4 linked regions of the Arabidopsis thaliana genome follow. The protein of the gene in region 2 interacts with the protein of the main gene of each other region in a pairwise test. Each region holds a gene or a part of one and is shown on either strand. Other genes may lie near its edges. The genes, in order: MYB73, AT3G18210, MYB3R-3 and TGA3.

Evidence for each region.
Region 1: the proteins of AT3G18210 (region 2) and MYB73 interact in binary tests that used the Arabidopsis thaliana proteins (3 or more experiments, as listed by UniProt).
Region 3: the proteins of AT3G18210 (region 2) and MYB3R-3 interact in binary tests that used the Arabidopsis thaliana proteins (3 or more experiments, as listed by UniProt).
Region 4: the proteins of AT3G18210 (region 2) and TGA3 interact in binary tests that used the Arabidopsis thaliana proteins (3 or more experiments, as listed by UniProt).

What each region holds. Positions count from the first base shown.
Region 1 is NC_003075.7:17,537,668-17,543,990, reverse strand, and holds MYB73 (myb domain protein 73), read right to left. Parts: upstream 3,502-6,323; 5' UTR 3,390-3,501; coding exon 2,427-3,389; 3' UTR 2,192-2,426; downstream 1-2,191. Other genes in the region: HMA1 (heavy metal atpase 1), read left to right, coding at 1-104, 523-628, 781-945, 1,093-1,309, 1,394-1,581, 1,665-1,751, 1,840-2,004. UniProt on the Arabidopsis thaliana protein: Transcription factor that functions in salt stress response. Acts as a negative regulator of NHX7/SOS1 and CBL4/SOS3 induction in response to salt stress. In response to auxin, activates the transcription of the auxin-responsive gene IAA19.
Region 2 is NC_003074.8:6,236,425-6,244,142, forward strand, and holds AT3G18210 (2-oxoglutarate (2OG) and Fe(II)-dependent oxygenase superfamily protein), read right to left. Parts: upstream 4,182-7,718; 5' UTR 3,973-4,181; coding exon 3,640-3,972; intron 3,373-3,639; coding exon 3,325-3,372; intron 3,238-3,324; coding exon 3,061-3,237; intron 2,988-3,060; coding exon 2,837-2,987; intron 2,733-2,836; coding exon 2,646-2,732; intron 2,523-2,645; coding exon 2,398-2,522; intron 2,304-2,397; coding exon 2,185-2,303; intron 2,068-2,184; coding exon 1,956-2,067; intron 1,873-1,955; coding exon 1,840-1,872; 3' UTR 1,478-1,839; downstream 1-1,477. Other genes in the region: AT3G18215 (transmembrane protein, putative (Protein of unknown function, DUF599)), read left to right, coding at 4,544-4,708, 5,365-5,934. UniProt on the Arabidopsis thaliana protein: Participates in the epigenetic repression of flowering genes in association with ICU11. Functions in the repression of several members of the MADS-box transcription factors family, including SEP3, during vegetative development via histone modification.
Region 3 is NC_003074.8:2,875,976-2,884,125, reverse strand, and holds MYB3R-3 (myb domain protein 3r-3), read right to left. Parts: upstream 4,774-8,150; 5' UTR 4,593-4,773; coding exon of another isoform or gene 4,551-4,592; 5' UTR 4,309-4,550; coding exon 4,067-4,308; intron 3,955-4,066; coding exon 3,903-3,954; intron 3,806-3,902; coding exon 3,748-3,805; intron 3,460-3,747; coding exon 3,365-3,459; intron 3,282-3,364; coding exon 3,178-3,281; intron 3,102-3,177; coding exon 2,973-3,101; intron 2,875-2,972; coding exon 1,998-2,874; 3' UTR 1,771-1,997; downstream 1-1,770. Other genes in the region: AT3G09360 (Cyclin/Brf1-like TBP-binding protein), read right to left, coding at 5,694-5,936, 6,024-6,077, 6,283-6,372, 6,503-6,631, 6,730-6,810, 6,971-7,059, 7,141-7,183, 7,323-7,463 and 3 more. UniProt on the Arabidopsis thaliana protein: Transcription factor that binds 5'-AACGG-3' motifs in gene promoters. Transcription repressor that regulates organ growth.
Region 4 is NC_003070.9:7,786,535-7,794,281, reverse strand, and holds TGA3 (transcription factor TGA3), read right to left. Parts: upstream 5,150-7,747; 5' UTR 4,632-5,149; coding exon 4,626-4,631; intron 4,294-4,625; coding exon 4,093-4,293; intron 4,007-4,092; coding exon 3,920-4,006; intron 3,785-3,919; coding exon 3,725-3,784; intron 3,650-3,724; coding exon 3,572-3,649; intron 3,486-3,571; coding exon 3,422-3,485; intron 3,322-3,421; coding exon 3,050-3,321; intron 2,974-3,049; coding exon 2,740-2,973; intron 2,614-2,739; coding exon 2,461-2,613; 3' UTR 2,143-2,460; downstream 1-2,142. Other genes in the region: AT1G22080 (Cysteine proteinases superfamily protein), read left to right, coding at 193-471, 547-893, 970-1,057, 1,305-1,492, 1,567-1,654, 1,870-1,878.

The sequences.
Region 1 (6,323 bases), on a different chromosome or scaffold from region 2:
GGAACTAATTCAAGTGTAATAACTTGCTGCATTCCAAATTGTGAAAAAGAAGCTCTTGCAGTTGCGGCTGCCATGGAGAAGGGCACCACGCATCCTATTGGAAGGTATTGCTTGTTTAGCATCAATTACTAGTATAAAACTTAATTACCACAAACTCTAAAACCATGCAAGTTGTGACCTATGTGCATCCCATCATCACATAGTTAGTACTGTGGCGCGTCTATAACTCATGGGAAATAAGTTATCTTGTTGGATGGTACATTCATTTCAGGAGATATGTTGACGTAAAGAATTTTAGTCCTACATCTAGAACTTATTCTTATTTCTAGTTCATTACCACAATCGGATGAAAGGAAGGGGAAAAAGCAAATTTGAACGCTATGAAGCTCTCTATCTCTGGTTTTTACACTGGTTTTTACACTGGTTTATTAGTTTAAATGATGCTTGGTCTGGTAAGAGATTGAGACTGAAGAGTACTATAGGTCTTTTCTGCTGTTTCTGACACATTTCATCTTGCTGCAGAGCTGTTGTAGATCACAGTGTGGGTAAGGATCTTCCTTCTATTTTTGTTGAAAGCTTCGAATATTTTCCTGGTAGAGGCCTTACTGCTACTGTCAACGGTGTTAAGGTGAGACTCAGTTATTTACTAGATTCTTATATATATCCATTTATCTACCAGATTTTATAGTGTATAGCTGTGGGTGATGTGTGTACATCTCTGGCTTTCATTCTTAATATATATGATGTTGTCTCTCACCACATTTTTTGGTTTTGTAATAGACAGTAGCTGAAGAGAGTAGATTACGAAAAGCATCACTTGGTTCTATAGAGTTCATTACCTCACTTTTCAAATCTGAAGATGAATCTAAACAGATCAAGGATGCTGTAAACGCGTCTTCGTACGGAAAGGACTTCGTTCATGCTGCTCTTTCTGTTGATCAAAAGGTATACTACGACTACTTCTTTAGCTGGTCTAAAAACCTCTTTCCTACTTCACAGTCTGTGATTTTCATCTCTCATCTGACCATTTATTAGTCCATAAAAACCTCTGTAACACTGAAATTTATGAGCCTTGCAACTAAATTTTGTCAGGTAACATTGATTCACCTCGAAGATCAGCCTCGTCCAGGGGTGTCAGGAGTTATAGCAGAACTTAAAAGCTGGGCCAGACTCCGAGTAATGATGTTAACTGGGGACCATGATTCAAGTGCTTGGAGAGTTGCAAACGCAGTGGGTATTACCGAAGTCTACTGCAACCTAAAGCCAGAGGATAAGTTAAATCATGTAAAGAACATTGCTCGGGAAGCAGGTGATCATTCATTACTCTCGCCATAGTTCCCAATCAAAAACATCTATCAAGAGACTGAGAATTTAGAGTTGTGATTTTTGCTAGGTGGAGGTTTAATTATGGTAGGAGAAGGGATTAATGATGCTCCAGCTCTAGCAGCTGCAACAGTGGGGATTGTTCTTGCTCAACGAGCGAGTGCCACTGCGATTGCCGTTGCTGACATCTTACTGCTTCGAGACAACATCACCGGTGTTCCGTTCTGTGTCGCTAAATCCCGCCAGACAACATCATTGGTAGATAAAACATAAAAGTCTTTGTTCTTAACCAGTTTCAGATGTTAGATTGCCTGATTTAACAAGAATGTATCATGTTGCAGGTCAAGCAAAACGTAGCTCTTGCATTAACATCGATATTCTTGGCCGCTCTTCCTTCAGTTTTAGGGTTTGTCCCATTGTGGTTGACGGTACGTAAGCTAATACCCACTACAAGCTTTTGTTATCCATCATTTACCCGAGAGACAAAACCGCTAACCTGCATTTTTGTGATCATAGGTACTTCTACATGAAGGCGGGACTCTTCTGGTGTGTCTAAACTCAGTACGTGGTCTAAACGATCCATCATGGTCGTGGAAACAAGACATAGTTCATCTAATCAACAAGTTACGCTCACAAGAACCAACCAGTAGCAGCAGCAACAGTTTAAGCTCTGCACATTAGGGGGTAACTTGCTGTTCTTTGTCTAATTCTGCAAAAGCAAGACACTGTGAATTGTATGATCGCTTATGAAACATCAAAATCGTATATATGTTTCGTTTCGACTGGTTTCTTCAGGTCATATATTATGTCACGTGAGATTATATTTACTACTTTTAGTTTATGTTTGTTTCCTCGTAACAAACCCATAGAATAAAAGTTTGAGAAGTGTTTTTGACTTTTCTTCTTCAAGTTTGTGTAAATTGTTAATAAATGATCTTGCTTTGCTTTTAATTGAATCACGAAAGAAGATCATATGATGATGATAACAAAACATTTTTTGATTTCGCTTCCTCCTTTCGTCGTCTCTACTACTGGCTCTATACATGAAAAGCCTGAAACTTTTATTTTCCCGAGAAACAGAGGGAAAACTTGTTCTTATCACTCTACTCCATCTTCCCAATTCCGATTTGGTTCACTATAAACTCTCTAAACCCAACACGACGGCTGTTTACACTTTGTGGCATACACGAACCGCCACCTCCGCCGCCAGAACTACTACCACCGACGTTTCCTCGCTGTAAATCCGCCATGTAACTCCTCACCTCCGTCCTTATCATCTCCTGAACCACCGTCATGAACTCACCACCGAATCCACCAGATATCCCCTTCGCTTCTTCTTCTTCTACTTCCACTTGCTCTTCCTTTCTAACCGGAAACAGCTCCGCCGTATAACCACCGTCCATAACCGTATTCTGGTTAAGTTGAACCGGCTCGTTGACTCGAACCGTCTCGTCAGTCCAAGGAAGAGACAAACTAAGATAAGTTGGAGGATCTTCACCAGACGATGACGCTGTAACCTCAGATCTAACCGTTGGTTTAAACACGTGTGCACCACCACTAGATTGCTCGCTGACGTCAGATCCCGATGGACTTCCGGGACTCATATACAAGCCAGTCGAGACACCACCACCACCACTCGCCGTACGTTTCAACGGTTGCTCTTCTCCTAAATTACCATCATACCCTCCATTACCACCAAAATCACAACTTTGCCCTTCGACGCTGCATTTTCGCTTCAGCGTCGAGTTCCAATGATTCTTGATAGCGTTATCGGTTCGTCCATTGAGAAGACGAGAGATCGTAGCCCACTTGTTACCAAACCGAGCGTGAGCTCGAATAATCGTCTCGTCTTCTTCCTGCGAAAAAGCACGGTGCTCTACCTCCGGAGATAGCTGGTTACACCACCGGAGACGACAAGATTTGCCGGAACGTCCAGGGATTGATTTGCTAATCAAAGACCAGTTCCTCGGACCATGTTTCTGAACAAGCCTCTGCAACAGATCATCTTCTTCTGGACTCCATGGACCTTTAATCCTCTCCATATTCTTACGGGTCGGGTTTGACATCGCCGGATCTTTTTATCGGATTGTTCTTTTTTTTTCTTCTAACGCGTCCTCTTTTTTTTTGGTCGTTACAGTTTTTTTTTTTGTGTGTGTTGGGAAGAAAAGCTTTTTGGTTGAAGAGGATAAGAGCAAGAAGAGAGAGTATTTATACGAGAAAGGAGTGGGCAAAAGGGTCACCGGTTCAACCGGTAATTTTTTCTTATCGATTTAACAGAAACGATATTAAACTAGTTAAACTTTACAGTGTAATATTATCCTTAACTGCATAAAAATATCTAACGTATTATTAAAAACAAATTTTATAGAAGGAAACAAATAAAACCGTTTTCTCTATTAATAAAGAGATTTGCTCAGTGTTAAACGGATAACTATGGTAGTTCAAACAATAAAAAATAAAAACTGATAATTATGGTCGTTACTCGTTAAACAATTTTGACTCATTCAGTCAAAAAAATATTGGTGAATTTAATTAATTTAAACGTATGATTAACCATTGTTTATATGTTCATAATTATGTGTCCATAAATGGGCTACGTACAAACCTCGTTAACGTTTGGGTATAAAAAAATTGACAACATTTACGTGTTTGTATGATTGGAACAGATATTTATTTTAAACCAAAAATAAAACACGTTGGCGATTGGAAAAGGCGTTTTGGGAGATAAGCGTTTGTGTGAGGTTAACATCGAGCGTGGAGAGCAGAGAATCTTCCAGGAAAAACGGTTGGGGACTTGGGATACAGCTGTATATTAACACGTGTCAAGTAAGTATATGTACTTTGAGTTTGAGATTTGCTTTTTTTTTTTCAATTGTTCTTTCTTTTTTTTGAGAGATTTGTTTTCTTTTGAAGAGAGAGTACGCTCGTACACAGGAGCGTTTCTTCCACTCTCTGTTTTACAGGTGGAGCGTTTTTACCCAATCATTTCATTTTCCATCTAAAGTGACACTCACAAAAAAAAATCGTTAACTTCTACGTTTTATTCTCTCTATATTTATATCCTTTTTAAAATCATTCTCTTTTTGAATATTTGTTAACTTTTTCGTATGTTTTTTGAAGTTTTATTTTGTAAAATTTTGATACTATTGTAGAAGAAAATGAAATCAAGAATGGCAATGTATATCAAAAAAAATATTAAAGGCAAAATTTTGTAAAAACTAAGAATCTGCTGGAAACATACATATTGCTTTTAAAAATAGTAAGTGCAACAAAAAGACTACATAGAAGTCAATAAAAAATAGCCGAAAGTTTTTGTGTTATGAACTAAAGTTTTTTGATAAGTTATTTTCAATATTTTACACTGTTTGTTACATGTCATTGTCTTCTGTGTGTTGATTGATACGTGTGGTTATTATATAAACGAACGATTGGTCCAATATCCAAATTTTGGTTAAGATGTAAATTGTGTCGGTGAAAATAATGTAGACATTGTAGTCGTTGACAGCGAGTTCTAGGCTTCTAGCTTACATGCAACAAGTGAATGTAATAGTTTTGCAATGTTTGGTCATTGAATTTCTAACAAATATGTACGTGTAAGATACTAGATTAAATATGAATGTTGCAAGTAATAGATCGTTTATATTTGTCAAGTGATAAATTGTCGTATAGAAGAACAACTAAACCGAAGAATTACTAATCCGGTTCAACTTAGTTAACCAGAAATTGAAAGGGTAAACGCCGGTGAAGCGCGTGTAGGATGATGATATATATACAGTGAAGCAAACTTTTCAGGATATATATGTAACTTTTATTTATGTTCTTTGTAAAACAAAAGTGTGTGTAATTGGCAGAAAGAGAGAACAAAACCTAACAAACTGAAATACAACAAATATCTAGATATTCATAAATATCTAAAACCAAGTTCCACTTCATGCAACTTTGCATATATACACACGAAGTTCATAGATTAATTACACAAAATAATGAAAATGAATAACTTAAATACCCTCCAAATTTTGTTTTCATATAGTTTATAAAAAAACTAAACCCTAATGCTCAAAACAATTTATATCTTATGCATTAAAATTAGGGATGTAAACAATAATTGAAGATTATTGTAAAAGAATGTATGATATAATTAAAAATGAAAATTGAAAATACAACAAATATCTAAACCAAGTTCACTTCATATGACTTTGCATATACACATGAGATTCATAGATTATTTACACCAAGATAATGAAAAATGAACAATTTCAGTACCCTCCAAATTTTGTTTTCGTTTAGTTTATATAAAAACTCAACCCTTTGCGCAAAACAGTTGATATCGTATGCACTAAAACATATTAAACTTATGAAGGTAAACCAACAATAATTGAAGTAATATGGTAAAAGAATGTATGATATAATAGAAAAATGAAAAAAGAGCACCAACAAAAAGAAATAAGGAAAACAAGAAGAAGAAGATAAGGATGAAGTTAACGGTTAGGTATGAGGTTTTGGTTCGATTCGGTGACTTTTTGACTGAGGAAGCCAGCCTGTATACCATTATTAGTATTTTTTTTATTTATTTGAAAAATTGTTATCATTATTATGTTTTGGATATTTTGCCGATCTCAAAAATGAAATACTCTAAAAAGCAAAGAAGAAAAAAAGCAAAACAAAAAGAAAAAGATAGGCCAAAAAGAGACAGTTGCTCACGTGGCGCAAAACGACAAGGATAGATCGGAAGGCTGATCGTTACCACTTTAATTTTCTGATATTATAAAAAAAACAAAAACAGGCTGTAAATCTCTGCCTCCCTTTAACGGCCACTCTCCCACCTGCCGGTCACCCACCCACCCTTTTTTATATATTCTTCACTAATTAGTAATTTACCATTCTTAACTCCTTTATAACTTGTGTTTGGAAAACTAAAAATACTTTGGTTTAGTGTTTAGTTAAGAAATTTAGAATTTTTATCATTTGTAAAAAACACAAATTTGACTTTTGACTTTTTT
Region 2 (7,718 bases):
TATGTATTGTTAGAAGTTTCACTCATGTTCAATGAGAGGACACCACTTTGGGTCCTTTATGTCATCTAAAATTCATACACCTACATTTACAAATTTGTATTTGGGTTGTGCAACGGCGACAATAGTAATACAAACCACTATTTTATCAATGTTCACGTTGAATGTTGACATATACATATATGTTTAATTTGATTTTAAGTTTGTGTTTCTAGTGAATTCTTCATTTGGGGATTCATTTGATTTCTATTATGTTTATATATTCGTTTCTTATGTAATAATGAGTTTATGGAATCGAATAGCATGTGGTCTAGCTCATAATTAGGCATCTTGTCTTGAATGTGGAAAACCATTAATAATTTGATTGATAAGTTTACTAATATCTCTTCGAAGGAGCACTAACCACCGTTTATTCAGTTAACTTGTAATTGTTTCATGTCATTAGATTCCAAAAAACGGCTACAATCAAATGTACCAATTAGGTTGGATTTTAAAACTATGACATCTTCCAAAAAGTTATGTTAAACATATAACTTGACCTAATGTATTAAGAAACTATTCTGTTTTAAATAATGTTTAGCAATCATTTAAGTAATTTGTACTATGTACTCTCTTTTCTTTTTCTTCTAGTGGCCCTAAAGAGGGACACATGCAAGATTCTCCATTTTTTCAGCCCATGATATGAAAATTCTCAGTTTGAATTATATATAATCAAAATATTCCAGCTTCAGAATCCAAAAGAAAATTAAGGATCAAAACTGAAACACAAAACTAACAACACAATCATCAGATCACCAAAATATCAAAAACAAACTGGCAAAAAAAAAAAACCTAGACATCAAATCTTTTTAAAAAATTCAGTCAAGAATCCCTATTGAGCTCAGATTTTAACATTAAGAATATCTGCAGAATGAAGTTAACTTAGTTGTGTTTTCAACGACTTAGCACACACCTAGACATCAAAATCTTTTAAGATTTAAAACAGACCCAAATGATCCTTATTGATCTTATACTACTGTATCATGAAGATGAAGGATTGTGTTTTCATCTACATTGCTAATTAGTGTGATCATATATATAAACATCGTATCAACATAGATTGTCAAAAAGATACCAAGAAACCCCAAAAATAAAATGAATTTGGTGAGAAGAATGAATGGAAGAGTATATAAAAGAGACATAAATAACAGATCCATAAAAGGATTCAATGATAAGCCTTAAAGTCAACTAATTGGGTTGGTAGTACCGTTTCACACCCAATTTCGATTTGTCTTGCCATGAAATAACAAGACAGCAACAAAACACCATCTACACTTTCTTCTCTCTTCCATTATTTAGAATAACGTGCACAATGGCCCTAATGCTCATTTATATTCAAAAGAGCCTACCGAAGCAATCGATTTGGGTTTCTATAAGAGCAAAATCCATTATTTGTGGCTCTAGCCATTGGTGAAGAGCACAAGTGCACAACTCAGTAGAGCAACGATTTGAGGCGAATATGGAGATTTAAGAGAGCAGCATCACCAAATCCAATTAGATAACACCAATTCTTCCTTGTACTCATATGAAAGAACAAAAAAAATCGGACAACAATATGACTCCTTGTAGTACACAAGTGAAGTTGAGACTAGATTCTTTCATGTACATATTTTATCAAAGAGTCTGAGAAACGATAAACAGAGACCCATATAACTCAAATGATTTCTACATAGGCTCAGTTTTAAGTCAGCTTAAAACAGGAGCAATTCTTCAGGGCTTGATCTCAAGTTTTAATGTCATCCAATATATGTTATTGCTTATCTTACTAATGTTTCATCAATTGCTCATCTTGCTAGTGTTCCATCAAGCTTGGGTTTGACGTGGTTTAAACAATTTCTGCAATAGCAATAAAGAGCATAGAATCATCGACCATTCTAGTAAACAGAGAACTATATAAGCTTGATCAATCACAGGCTTACCTTTCTTAGAGCATCAATCGACCGCACTTTCTCATCTCTCTTTTCACAAAAGCACTCTCCACACCAGCTGGAGAAATCCTTGTGATGAGTTTTGAGCTCTCTAAATACAGAACTGCAAGGAACAACACGAAAGACAAGCTTAATAAGAAACCAAATAAAAATGGAAAGTCAATTGCAATGTAAAAAAAGATGCATGGCAGTCTAGAGGCAAGTTTTAGATGCTATTTACCTTCTGCACCATAGAAGCATATTGACCCGATGCCCGCATGTTGTGGCTCTGGCACCATGGCGGTGGCGGCCACGGTGAAGCACAGCTTGTCCAGGTATATGACAATAATCATATGTTTCCTGCTTTCGCAGAAAAAAAAGAGTTGTTTATATTAGCTATCAGCCATATACAGAATGTTAGAAGACAAGAAAGCAACAGAAAAGAGTGGCATACATCTGCCTTTGTTGCTGTGTTCACATGTTTTTCACACCGTGTGCCTCTGAAAAATAGCTCCCCTCCCACAAATTGATTACCCAAACAAACATTCAGCGTTACTTCTGAATCATCCACATGAAAGCCTGAAAATTTATATAACATCTGATAATTTTCAGCCAGAATAACGTGAGTATTGGAATATATCTGCATTTAGGACAACTAGTCAGGTCATGGGAAATTATACAGGATATGTCAAAGGGTCTCACCTAAATCAACATCCCTATCTTTCCCATATTCAACAACAAAACCATGGTGAGAGTCCAGAGTTGCTCCACCCACATCACTGAAGAATACTGCAAAACAAAAGATTCGAAGTAGCTTTTTAGTTTTAACACTGTGAACATATTAAACAGACTTTCCAATAATAGACTATGTAATGGATTTAAAAATATATTGCCTTTAGAGATGGGACGTATAAACCCCTCCATGAGTTTGTCAAGCATGGTGTCTAGACCAAAGTCGTCAAGCACAGCACCGTATTTATTCATGGTGTTTGGTCTCATTATCCGGAATTTGGTCTCACCCACCCACCTTTCAAAATTGTCTATCTGCATGGTCAAACAAGAGCAAATGAACAAAATACGAAGGATAAGAGAAAAACAAAAAATGGATGCACATTACCTCGGCTAGCATCATCTCACAAAAGCTAGGCTGGAGCATGTCAAAGACGAAAACACCAGGAGACGGTTCAGATATTATATTTCTGAAGCTTTCCTCTGTGTTTTCATTTATCGCCTTAAGGAAAGCAGGAACGAAACATACTGTGGGAACTAGAGTATACAACTCCTTGTGAAGTGGCTGCAGTAGAAAAACACTTCAAACTACTAACAAATGACTGGAGCAGAGCAATACAGAACACAAGAAAGCTCAAGAAAGGATTCACACCTGATAATTTGTTGTAATCTTCAGCCTATAGTCACTGTGCCTTTGAGCCTGTAGCATCAGCCAAACAAAACTACTTAATAAAACTCTTGAGCTCATATTGACATTTTCAAACCATTCATGCAATATCTTCTACCAACCATCATCTAACCAGATTGAAATTTCCATAACCACTTAACTAAAAGTGAAACCAGTTCATAGTAGCAATTAGCAAAAGCTCAAATTTTCATAATGAAGTGTAGCTTCTAAAGCAATTCACAGTCATCAATACAAGTAAAAACAAAATTCAAGAGAGAAAGGTCCAAATCTAGTACTTACTCTGGAACGCTCTCCATGAGGAAGATGCCTAAGCATAATATCAGTCATGAATTTGATTTTCTCATCACGATTCGAGACGAGCATATTCGGAGGCAAGTACTTCTCCAGACTAGAATATACCGAGTTTGGGAAATCAAGCTGCAGATCTTCATAACTATCGGGTCTATGCTCGTTGTTAGGGTTTAGCCTTAGTCTCTGGCAAGAAACCATCGTAGAGGTAGCTCTCAATGTCGTGGGAGCCGCCGAATGAGAATTCTGACCTGCAATTGTTCCGTTACCTTCCACCGTCGTCGTCGTCGTCTCTTGCGAACCTTCTCGCTGCTCACTTGACATTACTAAAGAAGGCAGAGAATTCAAGTGAGAAAAAACTAGGGTTTCTTCTTCACACTACATTCCAAAAGCAAAAAATCTTAAAGGGGAATTGAAATCGACTTTTTAAGCTCTCGATCTGGAGATTCTGATTTTTGAGTTCCCGTTGAAGTTAGGGTTTCTGAATGTTCCCTCGAAGATTTTTTTATCTTTTATTTATTTGTTAATATTACGCACGAAACCACCAGTCATACGCCTTATAAGAAGAGTTAAATGATTTTCTAGCCCATCTATTAGGCGGCCCATTAAATAATTCGAACCGGTTATTTGGTTTAAACTGAAATTACCGGTATAATCGTGGAATTGAAATCATTCGACTTTGAGTTGTCTGTTAGTGCGTTATTGGTTAACACGTGAGAGATATCGATAGTCTCCTCTGGAGTTTGTTAAGTTCACACGTGTGAATGAAAGCTTTCGCTCTCAAAGCTTGGTGCTTTTTCGTCTCTTGCCTCTGCCAAAATCTTTTGGCCGCCATCGATCTTTCCGATCACGGAACAACCGTACGAATTGAAAGTATCTCTGCGGCGAAGTAGAAATGTGGACGGAGGAATCTTTGGATTTAGTGCTTGTGCCGACGGGTCTGGTCGTGATGGTTGCTTACCATGTCTGGCTCGTCTACGCTATTCTTCACCGCCCCAAGCTCACTGTTATCGCTCTCAACGCTGAGTCTCGACGACAATGGGTCTTCTCTATGATGACTGTATGTTTTTTTCTCTTCTCATTTCTATTGTTCCTCTTTTGGTGACATTCTGGGATTTTCTTGGTATTTCTGATTCTGGAGATTTTGGGGTCTAGATTAGGGTTTATGGCAATAGAGCTGCTTTGTTCGTGATTTTAGGAATTGGGTATTGAGAGTCTTACGGCTCTCCTATCCTCAATTTTCATGATTCTGAAGTTTTCGAAGTCAACTAAAAACTAGTAAACCATAAATATTTGGATCTTCAAACATCAGGTAGCAAAATTGAGCAGGGTTTATGATGAGTAAAGATGATGAGATTAGGAGAAGCAAAGTCTTGGAGCTGTCAAGTGATGTTAGATGTGAATCTTCATTAGTAGAATCAATGTTATAATAGACGGTTGGCTATCTTCCTTGGAAGCTTGACATTTTTCAAGAACTCTTCTTGTTCATGGAGGATATGCATCACAGATCCCTATAGTTCACAACTCTACGCATATTTCAGCTAGAATCTTGGAGCTAGTTAATGAGGTTCATTGGATAGGAACAGAGTCATAGACATGAGAAACAAGAACACAGTCGTGTGTCTGTCCGTTAAGATCCGAATTATCGGTGGTCTTGGCTCTCAGTATTGGTTCTTTTGCAGTAGATGATATAAGTTTATCTATTGTTATTTCCAGGAACCACTGAAAAATGGTACCTTGGCTGTTCAGACAATCCGGAACAACATAATGGCATCAACCCTTTTAGCCACAACAGCAATCACTTTATGTTCCATCATCGGCGTCTTTGTAAGCAACTCGTCATCTTCAAAATCCACGGCAACAAATCTCATATACGGGAGCAAAAGCCCTCGCTTAGCGTCATTCAAGAACTTTGCAATCCTGATCTGTTTCCTCATGGCCTTTCTCTGCAACATCCAGTCAATCAGGTATTACGCTCACGTAAGTTTCCTAGTCACAGTGCCTGTCTCAAGAGGGAAAAGAGAGCACTGCGAGTACGTGTCTAGAAACCTGAACCGAGCTAGCTACTTCTGGTCTCTCGGATTACGGGCTTTCTACTTCTCCTTCCCTCTCTTCTTATGGACCTTCGGGCCAATCCCGATGTTTGTGTGCTGTTGTATGATGTCCTCGATTCTATATTTCTTGGACACGACCACTAGTTTTACCAGGCATCTTCATAGCCAATCGTTCAGAGAAACGGCTGATTCAATGGACGGCGAAATCGAATCAGCTGTTCATACTCTGTAGATTCTTCTCTGACTTTTGTTGTGTATTAAGAGTTATATGTTAACGGTGTCTTTTGTAATGTGATGGAACAACTTTGTCTGCAATTATGTATGCGTTTGTGTTTTCATGTTACAATGATTAGAAAACATTACAAGATGAAAACGCAAACGCCTACCTAAACGCAAACAAACAATCTTAAGTATGTTCATCACTGAAGAAAGTAATGGTTTTAGCTTTTTCTGTTCTTGGTTTTAGGTTTGGATAACTAAGAAGAATTGTTATTATTCACACAGGCCTTAAAACAATTTTGTTCTTGCTTTGTTTCCACAGGATTGAGTAAAATCCATAAACGAAATGTTCAAGCCTCAAACTGTTTAAACATGACTAGATACGCACAAAAAGGCTCACGCTCGATAAGTACATTAATGAAACCTTTTATTAAGATTTAAGGACAAAAGTTCGATTCTTCTTCTAATGCCAAGAGACGTTACAAAGCTGGAGTGGCAGTGACGGCGGAAAATAAGACAATGGGGATGTCTTTAGGTGATCCGATATCGGATACGAAGGCGAAGAGATCATACAAGATCTCATTGCATTCGTATCCACTATGGATCATCTAAACTCATTCATGGAATCTGGTACCTCTAATTGGCTCATTTCCCCCACGTCTCTTAGAATCGGAGAAGACAGAGAGAAAAACCTAAAGCACCTGACGGACTCCGGACAGATTGAGCATGCAGGAATAAATAAGCGCGACACTCAAGCAAGCACCAAAGATTTGGGGTTTTCCGAATATTTTTTAAGGATTTGAAACTTCTAGACTGGGCTGGGCCTAATTAAAAGATTATTAGCCTACCAAAAAAAGTTCGAGACCCATCTTCTCTCTTCTTACTTTGTTGTCTCTCTCTACAATCTATATGTTGGCTGGCCAGCTGAGACAAATTACTTTTGCATTTGGACGATGATTTGTCTATTTTTCTTGTTAATATGGTTGGTCTGTTGTTGTGTCTGGCTGTTCGTTGAATTTCAAGAGTTTTATGTTATTAACGAGTGTTTTTGATGATATCTCATGGAACAATTTCCTTTGAGTTTTCATGTTATAAATGCTCGCGTAAATGCAAACAAATAATTGAAATAATAGTGGTCTACTATGTAATAATGTGATCTCAAAAAATAATATATATATATATATATATATATATAATGTGATCTCTTGGGTTTAATTCTTAATGTATTCTTCTTCTTCTTCACTCAAAGTAAAAGGGTTTGGTTTTGACCATGGTTCAGGTGTTACACTACAAATAGTATAAAAATTAAATTTTTTTGTATGTATATAATAAAAAAAAGAGACAAATAAAGTTACATTGTAAGTGGTCGCCTTAAGAAGAAAAATCATTCATATTTTATTCTTCGTCGATCTTCTGTTTTGTGTCCAATTTTAGAACTTTTACTCTATTTTCATACATCCAATCTCCTTGCCTCTACAATAGTATACCAAATAAACAAATTGTATTTGTTATGTTGGTCGAATCCAAAGATCGATTTTAACATTGTTATGTGTGTGCATGACTAATGCAAAATTTACATATCCAAGATTATTGTTGAACTTTGTTTGTAGACAATTCTTTTCTTAATCTATAGCTGAATCTTTGCTCAAAGGCTGAATCTCAGTGGATTGTCGTTGAATTTTGTTTAGAAGATCTGAGTACAATAATCATGTTTGATAGCATCATCGCGATTGTGTTTTTTTTTTTTGCCATTGAAGCTTCTTGAAACACCTGCCAAATGAAAGAAAGTAAAAGAAA
Region 3 (8,150 bases), 3.4 Mb from region 2:
CAAATATTAAACTATTAACACCTAACTTTAACAAACTTTTTAAAAGTCTTGATTAAATAACAACAGATTCTCCACAATATTTTAAATTACTAAAACTCTATTTAAATCGGTAACCAATAACACGTATGTAATTCGTTCTTTTTTTTTATTTTTCTTTATAATATGGCTAAAGTCGGTTTCGGATCGGGGTATTCCTTATTAGAAACATATTCTTGATAGGAAAAGGGTGTTGGATTTTTGCTATATAAACGTGACCTTTGGTGTTGTTTAGAGCTCACAACATTCTTCTATTGAATACAAAAAATCAAAAAGCTTTTCAACTTTTAAACAGAGATCGATTAGGGTATAGATTATTATGGTGGCGAATCCTGGCCGTGGAGACCGTAGGAGAGGCGTTGGAACAATGGATGACTTCGAGACGACCAAAGGGGTCGATCCCATCGAGAGTTTCGAAGATATGGGCCTTAAAGAGGATGTTCTTCGTGGTTTATACGAGTACGGTTACGAGAAGCCCTCGGCCATTCAGCAGAGGGCGATCATGCCAATTCTCCAAGGGCGAGATGTTATTGCTCAAGCTCAGTCCGGTACGGGAAAGACCTCTATGATTGCTCTCTCCGTCTGCCAAGTCGTTGACACTTTCGTCTAGAGAGTACGTTTTCTCTTCCTCATACCCTAATTCCAATTTTAACTTTTCTGCCAAGTTATCTCCAAATTTATTCTCATCTTATTTGTTGGTATTTCTGATTGCAGGGTTCAGGCCTTGATATTATCCCCAACAAGAGAGCTGGCTTTCACAAACAGATAAGACGCATGCATGCATTGGTGGGAAGAGCCTCGGAGAAGACATAAGGAAGCTGGAGCATGGTGTCCATGTTGTGTCCGGAACACCTGGTCGTGTCTATGACATGATAAAGAGGAGAAGTCTAGGCACCAGAGCTATTAACCTTTTGATTCTTGATGAATCAGATGAAATGCTGAGCAGAGGATTCAAGGAACAAATCTATGATGTTTACAGATATCTTCCACCTGATATTCAGGTTTGCTTGGTTTCTGCAACTCTACCTCACGAGATTTTGGAGATGACAAGCAAGTTTATGACGGATCCGGTGAAGATACTTGTGAAGCGTGATGAGTTGACTCTTGAGGGAATTAAAAACTTTTTTATTTCTGTAGAGAAAGAGGAGTGGAAATTTGAGACAATATGTGATCTTTACGACACACTTATCATCACTAAAGCTGTTATCTTCTGCAACACAAAACGAAAAGTGGACTATATTAGTGAGAAAATGAGGAGCAGCAACTTCACTGTCTCATCAATGCATGGGGACATGCCTCAGAAGGAGAGAGACGAGATCATGAATCAGTTTCGGACAGGTGAAAGTCGCGTTTTGATCACAACAGATATGTTTGCACGTGGGATTGATGTGGATCAAGTTTCTCTTGTCATCAATTATGATCTCCCTAACAACCGTGAGCTCTACATTCATCGTATTGGACGGTCTGGTCGTTTCGGACGTAAGGGTGTTGCAATCAACTTTGTTAAAATCGACGAGATCAAGATTCTCCGGGACATTGAGCAGTACTACAGTACTCAGATTGACGAGTTGCCAAAGAATATAGCTGATTTGATCTAAAACACTTTTGTCAATGTGAAACTATCTTATGATTTGTAAATTACCTACCCGTTTGAATAATGACATCATAAAGTCTATTTAGAAAAAAATTCAAAGCAGAGTGATATTGTTCACATCGGTGAACGAATGATTCAATGTTCAAATAATCAAAGACGCATATCAATCAAATAATCAAGAACATGCACCAATTTCTATGGCCCACTACTGAAGATCTTTTTTTTGTTATGGAAAAAAAAAACCTAGCTCAACTATGAGGTGTAAATTATTCTTTGGACTAAATACATCTAACATCTCTAACATTAACCCAAAAATAAAAATATAACCAATGAAACAACATTCAGCGTGTAATCATCTAGTCACTGTTTAGCCTAGGAGTTGAGAATCTCCATCAATCAACATATCTTTCTCAGATGATTTGGTTTCATCATCAGCTTTCTCTTCCTCTCTAGATATAAACTCAAGCTGTCTTGATTTGAAAACTGCTGTCCTTTTCGATCTTATCCGATATGGAGGAGATAGATTGTAAGCATTTGATCCATTATTTTGAATCTCTGAACTATCCTTACCATCATTCACCTTTTGATCAACCTCTTTAGCTTCATCTGTTTTCTTGGCGTTGTTGTTATCCTGAACAACAACCCTGGGTCGTCTTTTCCTGAATATGGATGGTGTGTTTGGGTAAGTTCTACCAGCTTCTCTCAGGTAAGATTCAGGACTTCTTGGAGTCGAACCGTTACTGTGCACATTCCTACACGGCGGTGGAGTGAAGAAGCTAACTGGTGATGCGCTTGGACTGCAACCACATTCATTCCCATACATACGCTGCGTATCCACTTCTGACGCCCTGTAATAGTCTATTTGAGGCGTGTAGTACAGATGATAACCATTATTTGCAGCTCCACCATTCTCTGGCAATGGCTCTGGGTTAGGCAACTGAGGAGAACGAGCATACTCATTAAGACTAGTCATTCGTGAAGCAGCTACTACTTCTTCGACAGGAACAGATGAGTTTATTTGGCCATTTCCGTCTTCAGCGAGATTGTTTACATCTGTAGTTACTGATGAGGTTTGAGCAACTGAACCAAAAACCCTTTTCTGAGCAGACGATGAACGTTTGGTTACACTATCAGGAACACCATTCCTTGTTGTTGTTGGTGGTGGTAACCTACCAGTCAATAAGTAGAATTCTGACTTCTTTTTCAATGAACTATTCCAATGGTTCTTTATTGCATTATCAGTCCTGCAGCAAGTTTTAAGTAAAACCTTCATTAAACCCAGAAGCTAACCCTTCTCTAAAGTCTCAACTCCAATGACGCATGCCAAGAAAAGTAAAAATACCTGCCGGGTAAGACCTTAGCAATTTCAGCCCATTTGTTTCCGTGGCTTCGATGAGCATTCATGAGAGCTACTTCTTCCTCTGTGGTCCAAGCATCCTTGTTAATATCAGGATTCAAATGGTTATGCCACCTGCATACATATCAAAACACATTAAAGCTTCCAATATAACTATAAGAAAAATGCTTGGCTCATATGAATTAACTACCTCTCTCGGCATTGCTTCCCAATTCGACCTGGTAAAGACTGTGCGATAATAGACCATTTCGCAGGCCCGTATTTTTCAACCAGTTCAACGATTTTCTCATCCTCCTGCAAAACAACAAACTTTAAGCCTTCGTATTTCACATAAAAAATGAAGCCAAATAATAAATAAAATCAGAAACAGAATCAACCTCATGTGTCCAAGGTCCCTTAATAAGGTCTGGATTTAGAACTTTCTGCCACCGATGCAGGCATTGAACTTCAGTTCTATCAGGGAAAGATTTCGCTGCAAAAATGAATACACCAATTCAAACAATACTAAATGCTTCACGGAACAAAACGGAAACAAACGTAAAAGAAAGTCTTTCTACTAGATGCTCAGCCTCAGATGATCAAGTTAACATACAAGAGTAACTCATAAAACTACAGAGACAAGAGTATGGAACTAATAGTTACTGTAAGCAAGTAGGCTCCAACTTTAATATTCGAACCACAAATCTATGGAGTATGTTGTAGCACTGACATTACTCTTGTTAATATGAGAACTAGAATCTAAAAAGAAGAAGAGACTTACCTATGTTCTTCCAGCTCTTGCCTTTAAACGTGTCAACTGCTTGTCTCAATGTCTCATCCTGCATTAAGTAAAACAACTCACATCTTGAATTTCGAACTACTGATCCAAAATTGATATTGGTCAAAAGCAATCACTAGTCAATACTCAATACTAACCTCTTCCGGAGTCCACCCACCTTTGGCTCGCCTTATAGGGCCACTCGTCCTCCTGCATACCAAACACTATCAACATCAATCTCTTGTAGAAAAGATGCAAATTCGCAAACGAGTGCTGCGGAGGAGATACAAAACAAGGAAGAAGAAGAAGGAGACGAACTAACCCGAGGTACCTATGAGTAGGTGATACTGTGGCAGGACTTGCAATTGTAGGTGACTTGTGGGAACTACCAGCACTGCCTTCAGATACAGAAGAGCACGAAGCAGGTGTTGATTGCTTATTTTCTACACACTGATCCTCAATTTTCACTTCACCTGTTTCTTCCTGAAGATCCATCATCTCAATGAAAGAAAAAAAAGATCCAGACTTTGATAAGAAACAGAGAAACCCTAAAAAAGCAATCATCGTAAAACACAAAGCAGACAGAACCCAGATCTCACAAATCACGAATTCAGTAAACAGCTCAACATTAACACCAACCACAGCAAAATTAGGGTTTATAACAATTGTAATCACAAAAATTTATAGTTTCAATAAAGTTAAATTCGTTTCGAATCAGAGCCAAACAACAAAGAACTCAATTTCACTAGAATCTGATCACAAGAACAAAACCCTTAAAAATTCAGATTCGATACACAAAAACTAACCTCATCTGGAGAAGAAGCGGCTGGATTAAAAGTGGAGCTCATCGAGATAGATAGATACACGAATTCACCAGCAGAAGAAGAAGAAAGAAGGCGAAAGGAACGTTAAAAAAAAAACCAAAACTTTATTCGAAAAATACTTTGCCCGTTGAACCAGAGAGAGAGGGATAGAGAGAGAAAGAGAAGACTTGATCGAAACAAAGCGAGAAAATAAAACATAAAAAAGGGTTCCCTAAGTTTTATCTCTCTCTCTCTCACTATTATAACGAATACTTCTTCTGCTGACGTCACACCGTTACTTGCCGTTCTTTTTACCTTAAGTAACCTATTTTCTCCAAACCGAACTGATATTTATCCATAAGCACGAGTTGAATGTAATGCAATCTAATTCTGGTTAAAGCTGGTTCAGTAAAATAGACCAATTTAACGCCGTCGTTATCTTTTGGAAAGTGGAAAAGTCGTCAAGGTTAGAAGGTACACTAACGGACGTTAACGGTAGAGAGTTAACCTCAGAAACAGAAGTTTGAACCTCAAACGGCACTCGTAGCTGATCCGTTGACCACTGAACACGTATACGATGCCAAGCTTTGCAGGTGACTCTGGACCGTCGGATTTGGTTTGAGATGAACTTTATGATTCTTCTTAAATACTATCCTGTAAAACCAAGCTAGATGTAAGATCATCCGGACCGACACATTTTGTTTAAAATTGAATTTTCTGGTATTTGATTTTGGGAATTTTCATAAAAAGTCATCACTTTTGTTTCAGTTATATCTTTATAGAAAAATAAATTTAAAATACATTTAGCTCATCAAATAGGTGAGATAAGTTCAGTGATTGTTAGTTGTTATCTGATAGAAATTAGAATTATCATAAACAAGGAAAATAAAATTATCAAAATTAAATACATATAGATTTTATTAAATTAATTAAGTTAGTGGTTTTTCATTTCTTAGTCAGTACCACTTGAATTGTAAAAATAAATAGATCATTTGTGTGAACTTTTTTTTCTTTTAAATCTTAAATATTTGTTACTGATAATAAAGAATAAATTTAGTTGGGGTTCTCCTATATTAATGCAAATAAAATCAACTAATCCGGCAAAACAAAAGAAATTAAAACTCTTGTGTTTCACAATACATATCATCAATACAATCCAAAATCATTACCATCCTCTTCTTCTTCCTCGTCCTCTTCATAGAATTTCTCGCCGTTTTGAAAATCTGTCTTCATGTCGTATGATTCTACATTGCCTTCTTCTTCATCCTCTTCATCTTCATCTTCATTTTCACCATTCTCATGTTCATTACTCTTCATTTCCTTGTTCTCTTCCTTCTTCTTCTCAATGTCTGTCTCTGTTTTCGACCTCTTGGGTGATTTCTCAGGTGCCTGAAAGAAGAAAAGAGAAGCAAAATTGTAAAGACCTCAAAAAGTGATGAGAATTGAGGATACAAGAAGAGGTAATCAAAAACTTACGGATGTATCAAATAGCGACTCCAAAACATCGTAGTTGATCACCGAACTAAGTCTCTGTAAGAGTCAACACTCAAAATCAGGAAAAAGGAAGAAACACAGACTCTAAAGTTTCTTCAATGCTAATAATTTCGACAGCCATGTTGTTGACTATGTACTTCCAGGCCAGGTTTTTAACAGATGATACATGGCATACTCGGTTTATCTTTTTTTGCATATTCGTTTTCAAGTATCAAGGTATCAAAGAAGCTGACATTCTAACCTTTTTATCAAGCGTTCGGCGTACCGCCTCCACTGCTGTGGCTGGAGGAGCCGCGTTCTTTGCTTCCTCAGCTTTTTTTTGTTGCTTTTCCTATATGAAGAGAGAGAAAAAAGAATCAGAAATTGATTGAGAAACCATATGTCATCAATGGGTATCATGTTATTCTCCAAAAGTCAGATGCTTGATCAGGAACATAATTTCAAAGTTCAAACTGAGTCACCTTTCTAGATTTTGCCGCATCAGCTTTGGCAGCTTCGAAAGCCTTTCTTGCATCTTCTGGGCAATTAGAGTTGCTAGCTTTTAAAGCTTCACTAGCCGCCTTCAGAGCTGCTTCCTTAGCAGCTTGCTCCTACAAAACAACATAATTTTGTATGTGATTTGATCTCCTAGGTGATAAATCAAAAGGAATCCAAGAGAAGATACATATTATATAGCCTCTGAAATCACCTCAAGATAATCTTTGTTCATTTCTGTCCATGTGATCGTCTTATAGTGCGTTTCCTCCTCGTTGTTGATATAGCCATTTACCTGAGCAACAGTAAAATACTATGACTGACGATCAAATATAACAAGGGAAACTGTAGTGAGAAAACAAGACTTTGAAACTGTTGAGAATTCTTCTTTATTTCATGTTCCATATTCGAGGTTGGAAATTTGACATAGCATTTACTACTAAACAATTACCGACCTCATCATCACTGATGTCAGAAAAGTTGTCTGATTCATCCGAAGTATCAGCATGTTCTTCAGCCCCATCTTTATCTTTTTCACCTTTCTCTGCGACACAGCCCAAATAGATTCTCAAGTGCTCAAACGATAGTGAAGAACTTTAATCTGATAGAAAACAATTGCACTCACCAGAACATTGTTTTCCCCTTTTGCTCATACTGCAATAGTCTGACTGTTAAAAGTTCGGCACAAGAAAGATTTTATTATAATATCATACAAGCAGAAGTGAACAAGCTCCCAATACAGGTGCTTTGGGTAGGGAGGAAAATATCTAAACTGCAATCCTCAAATAAAAGAGCACCAAAACTTACATATAGTTGTTCATCGTGGTTTAGGCTACTAATTCCTCCCTCGTTTTCTTCTCTAGCTGCTTTTTCCATTCGCTCTTTCTCTGCGCGCTGGAAAGCAGGAGGATTGGACCCACCAACAAGTCCACCAGAAACATTTATGAACTGCATTAAAAATTGCAAAAGAAAACATTTGATTGTTAACTCTGGGAACCATTTGTCAACGACTCGCAACTACGTAAACAGAAGACGTGATTAGAAAAATCAGGAAATTAACCGGTGACCTACATCTTTGTAGCAGTCTTCACATAGTCCATAACCAAAAGGTTTACTATCCTGATGCATACAGAGCACCGCCTCTTTATTTGAGGTTGGTTTCATGGTAAAAGATCTTTTATGCGATTCTCTTTCTCTGAGCTCATTAACCTAGCCACATATGTACAACCGTTAAAAATGAACATAATTCTTCAACTGATATGAGGCAAAGCAAATCGAGCCTGTGACACTATTGCATATGACAACAAACCAATAGCAGTGGAACATGCAATATTATAAGTTATAACTACTATGACGGCGGAACCAGATCCTCATATTTAACCCAATGTGTGCTGATATGACCAGATAGCATGTAATTCTGCTAGACACTCATTAGCCTTAACTCACATTTAAATTTCCAGAATCCGTATCGCCAAACTCAATCAATCGTTTGGTGAGAGTTGCTTCACATATATGCACAATGTTTACCTGGAAGTAGAAAACACACCAAATCAGTACTAAATTAGTGAATTAAAGGCTAAAACACTTTTCCTCTCATCTAAAACAATATTTCTTTATAGCCAATCATATCTTACA
Region 4 (7,747 bases), on a different chromosome or scaffold from region 2:
GCATTCGCTGAGCTTTTGAAAAGCTCGTCATGGATCGTGATTGCTGGTTTTATTCGAGATCAGCTCAGGCACATCAATTGTTAGGCGTACGCTTCTTCCGATCTAACCAGTGCCATAAGGATTATCCGCCACTGGGAAGATACATATATTCCACTGTGTGCTTGGTACCTAAGCAACCATGTTGAACCAGAGATGCTCGGCAAGGATAAACATGCGGAAAAGGGACATGTGTGCTACGGTAATTCAATTGCTGAAGCCTTGGAACATATTGAAAGAGAAGGGATCCCAAAAGAGATCCCACAGTTTCGTCAGTATAAATGCCGTCGTTATCCTCCAAGTGCTCATAAGAGAAAGCACAAGATAAAGTCTGTCCTTAGTTTCGACACTTTGGACAAGGCTTTAGCCCACCTTCACATTCAGCCTGTTGGTGCAGCTTTAATTACTTTCCCTGAGTTGTGGCGTATTGGAGAAGTAAGAATAATTTAAGCAGTGTAGTATTTGATTAGGTCTTACTTTCTTAGCTAACATATATAAATTGTTGTGCAGCACATCTACCGTGGCCCATTAGAAGAGAATACTCAATTCACGGGGTTTCATGACGTGGTGATTGTCAAGGTAGATGTGATTAACCGCGAACAGGTGGCGTTGTGCAAGCTGAGCAACGGCCCAAAAATTGGTGTTGGTGGGTATGTATGGGTTTCCCTGGAAGTGATGTACATGGTGGTTGGTGCTCAGGATAATGATAAAGATATGCTTCGGCCCTCCTCAACACCACGCCATCTTCTTTCGGATTTTAATTGCCCACTAATGGATGAAGCTCCAAGGGCAAACCTTAAGAGGAAACAGGAGCAACAAGATGAACCAAAAAGATCTAAAAAGCGTCGTCGTCAAAGGTAAATTGATCAGACTGTCACAGAGTTGAACAATGCTCAGTGTTGCGACTCTTTCATTGCTGTGTTTTGGTTGCAGAGTGGCGCGCAGCAGTTCTAAATTGCACTCTAACCTAGATGATGATGACGTCGCAAGTCTTCATGGCCAAGTCAGGCAGTTGATAAATGTAAGATGACAGATTTCTGAAGCTTCTGGCTCTCTATCTTTTAACATTAATTTCATCTTATGAATTAGGAAATCTGTCATACCTGAGGAGTTGTTACTGTCCTCAAACTCTGTATCACTAGCTGTCCTCATGTAGTTCCTGACTCTTGATGTTTTACAGGAATCAAATGACTTCTGGTTTAAGCTAGTTGTCATTTTTGTTTTACTGGAACTTTGGCTTTGTCGTATGGTTTTATCTTCTTTTGCAGACAAGAGATACAAATAGTCATGATCAAGAAGCATCTCATGAAGACGATAAACCTGCTGTTGTAACTTCAGATAATTTGCCAATCTCTACAGAAGAATGCTCGCAACTAAGCTTTGGATCAAGCCCTTTGAGCAACAACGCAGGAGAGACCTCTGATGTAGCTTCAAAGATGGAACATTCAGATGCTAGGTATTCTGTTACTAGTGATTTCTTTTCCCAAACTATTTATACCATACTTACCAACTGATCATGCTTGCTTGCAGAAGTACCGACTTCTATGGACACTCTATGGGCTCAAGTAATAGCCACAATGCCTTATCACTTGGTGGCCCAAGCAGTTCCATGCCAGAGGTAAATAATCCTTTCTCTTTAAGAAGCACGAGACTGTAATATTTCATCCTCCTAGCTTGTATTTTGTAACAAGGAAGTAGTAGTAAACCGGGTCATGGATACTTTCTTGTTTACATGAAGTACTCTGCTGCCTTTTCCATATGAGTCTTGTGTTCTTCACATTTGGAAGTTGATTTCTTGGTCTATTCTTATGTCTTTTTACTTCTTTTTTCCAGGATGGCTAGTGAAGAAGATTTGAATTTTACAGGAGAGATAAAGAAAGAAAGAGAACTAACCCTTTTTACCCCATTTGTATCACAAAAGGGAAGAAACATGTGTTACCTTTAACTCTTGTCTTTATCTTTCCTCGGTGTGGGCTTTTTTGGCTGAGACCCGTAGGATATTCATTTTAGGCACAATTTGAATGAAGGGAATGATCAAACTCTCTATGAATCTATTTGAATTTATTGTTTGTCTATTGACCAATTTATACCAACAACAAATATAAGCTAAGAACTGTTGGAATAACAATATAGACAAAAAATTTGATTGTGGGCTCAAATTTTCATATACGAGGAGATGAGTGACAACAAACCCTATATATTTTACAAATAAAGAGCCTAATGCATCAAAGACATTACATGTTTTCCACCCAAATTTACACATCTCTTATTCCTTTCAAGTAAACAAAATCATCAATGAGGAAGATGATGCTCTCTAATGGAGAAAATATCAGCCAACACTTTCTGAGAGATAAAGCAAGTCCCTATAGCTAACATCATCTGCCTTGTGCTTCTTTCTCTTTGTTTTGTTTGCCTCCTAACTTGTCAAGTGTGTTCTCGTGGACGAGCTGCCCAGAGAGAACTAAGAGCACGCAGCCTGTGGAAGTATTCTCCTAGAGCGAGCAACCCTCGAGCAGCCTGTCTTGTCGTCAATATCTTACTCATTTGCTGCAGGGTCTGTTGTCTCAGATGATCCGCCTGTTCCAATATTGTCAGAGATTTTGTTTGTGAAATCCATGCTCACAAAGTTTCTAATCAAAAATGAAAATAAACTTTGGATTCATGGAGACTGCAAAAGCACAAAGCAAATACACTTAGCGTTACCTGGTTCACAAAACTCTCCAATGCTTGAAGATTCTCCATGGCTGAAGCCATTGGAGCCCCGTGATTCACAGACTCAACAACTTTTATCTGAATTGCTATGCTTTCGACCAAACCCTGCTGAAGTTTATCTAAGCCTTGAGAGAGAGCCTCCTCTGCTTGCTGAGACGACTGTTGCAGGTTACGCACCTCCAACAGTTGCTGATCGGTTAAGGGCTCAACGTATGGCATCACAACCTAGACAACAAAAAAGGTTGAGCATTTTTTCTCAAGAGTAGAAAGAGAAACGTGTAAAAGTAAAAAAGAAGTTTACATTTAAAAGCTCGGATGGGCGGAAACCTCCAATCCATTGGAAGAAGCGTTCAGTTGAAGTTCGCCACATTCCCGACATCAAGAAGAACACATCAGCCTTTGCAGCATCAGCTTTCATGCGGAAGAGATTTGCGTAGTGGTTCAAGCAACTATCTACCAACATTTTGAGCTCAATGTCACCTATATGAGCTTGGAGCGCTGTTCGAATCTCACTAACTCTCCTGTTTTGCTCTTCTAGCCAGTGTGTGTATTCCATCTCAAATGCAGCAATACCTGAAAATGGTTATTATTGGGAAAATTACTTCTTTATCTACTGAGGATTAAGAGATAAAGCAATGCTAACATATGCTTATTTAGTGATATAAACACCAACCTGAGTTCATATTCCCAGCTGGTCCTAGATAACTAGTATCTGAAGAATTGCGTACGCATAATCCCTAATACAAACCAGAAGAATCACTGAGTCAGAATGAATCAGATAAAGTTTGATGAACACACAACAAATAAACAAGCTTGAGCTAACCTGCTGCCTAGCTCTTACAAGTTCCTGCTCGAGCTGTGACAACTTCAACCGGCTTTCTTCTAACTGTTGAACATGGGCCTACAAGCACAGACACAACTTTGCATAAGCTTTCCTTTTTATCATTAACACAAGAAAAAATCCCACCAAGGTTACCTTCTTTCTCAAACGACTTTTGCGAGCAGCTTCTCGGTTCTGAGCCAAACGCCGTTTCATCTGTTCATAGAGAAGGAACAACAATTCATGTCATCACGCCGTGTCTCTTCCTCTAAAGATTAAAATGGAGAAGGAGGAGTTTATGAAGTCTTCGAAGCAAAAGGTATAAGTAGCCTTAAAATGCTAAAGCCTTACCTTATCATTGATCCGGTCTTCGTCCTGATCATTATTACTCGACGGTTCTGCTTCAAGAGAGTTATTATACACAGAAGTATAATTCACCTGCAACATAATTAACCATCAATCACCAAACAAACAACACTTATAAATCATTCTAAAGCATGATCCAGGAATAAACAATAACTCACTCTATTGTTATCATCTGCTTCTGGTCTAGCATCAACCTCAAGTGTTGTTGAAGAACTCTGATTGTTATTCTGATTACTAGTAATATTGTTGATATCTGATTTGAAAGGACTCTCCCAACCAGATAACTGTTGAAATGGTTCATACATCCCCATGTCTCTGAATGATACAACTTGAGTAGTAGAAGAAGAAGAGCTCATCATCTGTAAATCAACAATTTACAGACTCAAGCTTATTGAATTCAAGAAACAGATTCTCTAGCTCAGCTTTCAATAGATATATAGATCCAGTCCATATCTCTAAAATTGCATTGCTTACTAACACACACAATAAACAAGTAGTTATAGTTTCAGTTTTAGCAATAAAGGTTGAAACTTTAGAAAACCCAGCTCTCCAAAACAGAGCCTTTTGAAGAAACATAGCCAAATAGAGTAATACCCATGAAACTAGAAAGTTGCAACAACTAAAAACCAAAATTGGAAAATTTAAGGACTTCACAAAGCAAGAAAAGATAACATGAGAAACAAAAACCAACCTCCATTGATAAGCAGAGAAGAAATTCATGAGGAGCTCGAGAGATGAAGAATGAATCTTGGCATTCTAAAAGGAATATTCCGATCAAACGGTGACCACAAGAGAGAAGAGAGAAATGAAGAAAAACTTTGGTCAAAACTTAGAGGTGAAGCGTACCCATCATTGAAAAAAAAAAGCAGAGATATTTATTTTTTTATACATATATTTTGTGTTGTTGCTTTTTTTTTTTTCCTCATGGCTTTGATTAGTCCATGAGCGTAGAATAATAAGCAAGTTGAAGTAAACGAACGATGAAACGACAAAAGCATCACCACCGGGAGAAAAACAAATCGAGAGAGATGATAAAAAAGGTTGAGTCTTTTCCTCTATTCCAAAAGTTGACCTTATCGTGCGCCTCTGTTTCTAAACTACACCTTTTGATGACCTGGATTCTTCATCGTCGGCCGACACGTCAGATGCTTGAGGGGAATATTCCGGTAATTTTTATTTTTTAACATAGAGAATCTGAATCTCATATATATAAGATGTGATTTGTTTATGATTTTGTTAGAAAAAAACATACAATATCATATATCAAAACTTAATAGTCGACTTATGATTCACATTATAAAAAGTTGATATATAATATATATATATATATATAGTTTTTAAATTAAAATAGTTATAGTAATGATTTGATCTGAAAATGGATAATTGATATTTGTACCACGAGATTACTACCGATTGGTTAAATATATTTTTTAGTAACGATTTTAAATATAGCTGATAATTTATTTGTATAAATATTTGAATAACTGTGAATTATTTGTTATTCAGAAATTGAATAAACTTTTCCAAGAAATTAGGTCGCATTTTGTGGGACAAGAGTGGAAGATTAATACTTTTAATCAATTTATTAATTTTTATTCGCTTTATTTGGAGGGTCTCAGTGCTATGCAGTGGCATCTTTTAACTTAAGTACTCCTCCTTAGCTTAGTGAGTAATAATTGGGCCTCTAGTGACCTACCCAACTCTAAGAAAATGATTAATTTTGTTATCTTTTTCTTCTTTTGCCTAATACAATATTGATTCTTTAGTTAGTTTGGTGCCACTTGTCTGATAAAATCTGCGTTTCGACAGAGACAAATACGTAAAATAAGTGGGGCTTTTGGTTTGGCTTTAATAAAGATTTCATATACTATAGTTTTCAATCTTTATAAATATGATTCAAAACGTATTGATCAATGACATGCAAAAGGATAAATACCGAAACTAAAATGAATCATTTTGATTTTCTTAAATCTATTAAGTTTTTGTCTTTTTGACGCAACAGCGCAGAAAGGCCTAAAGAGGAAAAGTTGGGCTTAGAGTAAAGCCCATAAAATTTGTCGAATATTCAACACATGGCAAGTGCACGTGAGAAAAAATCTACAGAAGTCTCTGTGCCGCTTTTTAAGGCTTCTCGCCTTGTACAACTTTTTTTTTTTAAAAATGCGCAAGTTTCTTTTCTGTAACGTCACATATTATTTTCGTTAACCCTAATAATTTTGGTGTTTTCTTTATTTTGTTATATAACATGTATAGATTTTAGACCTAAACTTTACCACTTAAAAGAGTGTCTACAATGATAAAAATAATAGATCATAATAAGTTATTTAACTTTAATAATCTAGATGATAGAATTCAATCTTAAGTCTAAAATTTCGTAATAAACCTTTAAATTTTAATACACGATATATTATAATATATTATTATATATTATAATATATTATTATATATACACCCAAAACCGGCTCAATAGAACTGGAATTTTGGTACAAATTTTAAAAATTAGTCTTTTTCAGTATTAATTTTGTTTATACACAATCATTTACTTACATATATATAAACAATAAAATAATATATATATATATATATATATATATATTTATATAAGATAAAAGGATATATAAAAATTTAGACCCTTTAACAACATAATTACAAAAAAATAAGAGTATTTAGGATAAATTGTTTTTTATTAACTTTTTAGCAAGGAAAAACAATTCAATAATTTATATTCTTCATGCATCATATATTTTATGATCGACTGAACAATATCACCATCAACCACTACATGGTTGCAACCAAAGAGGGAGCAACCATGTAGCATTCGACTACCAACAAACAATATCACCATCAACCACCACTACATGGTTGGAACCAAAGAAGGAGTAACCATGTAGCAAACCAACAGTATCACTATCAATCACTACATGGTTGCAACCAAAAAAATAATAACCATATAACATTCGACTACCAACCAACCAACAATATCACCATTAATCATTACATGGTTGCAACAAAAAAAAAGAACAACCATGTAGTATTTTGCCATCAAATAAAAAGACTTTTCACGAATTGTTAATAAAATATATTATATTTATTTTAGACTTGCAAAAGATATCAGTCACTAATTGAAAATAATCATTTTCGCATACAAGAATGTCATTCTTCTTACTTCTTTGCATGCATCAACTTGTCAACTTCATTCAACTATATCCTAAATTGTTTGAATCTACAAAATATATTTTCAATTATTAAAAATAATTAAAATTACGCCAACATTACAAAATATTTGACAATAATTAGGCTCTTAGAAAAATTTATTAGAGGAAAACAAAATCTATAAAATCCTGACGATTTCACGTTTCATAATGAAGATTTCAAAATATTATTTTGTACACCACTAGTACGTTTGATTTTTTGAACAGGAGGTCGCATATTGGTCGCCACATATACTATAATGTTTTGGCCATTTTGATTAGTTAATTAGGAAATATATTAACGGCGTTATATATTTAATTTGGTACTAGTTTTACCATTTACTTGCTTTTTAGTTTTTATAAAAATCTATTTTACTATATAAATCTAGTAGATTAGCCGAACATTCTTCTTGTAAACTATTAAACGGCCGTTCATTGATTTAAAAACCTGGTACTAGATTCAATAATTTACATTTAACAAACAATTATGATACTCGTCTGAAAAGATGTATGAGTTTAGGGCCAGATACTCTTAGTTATTTAAAAAATGTATTTCTAAATAATCTAATTTGTCCATCACATTTGGCTATTCCAATTTGCATCAAATTCTGATGTCACCCAT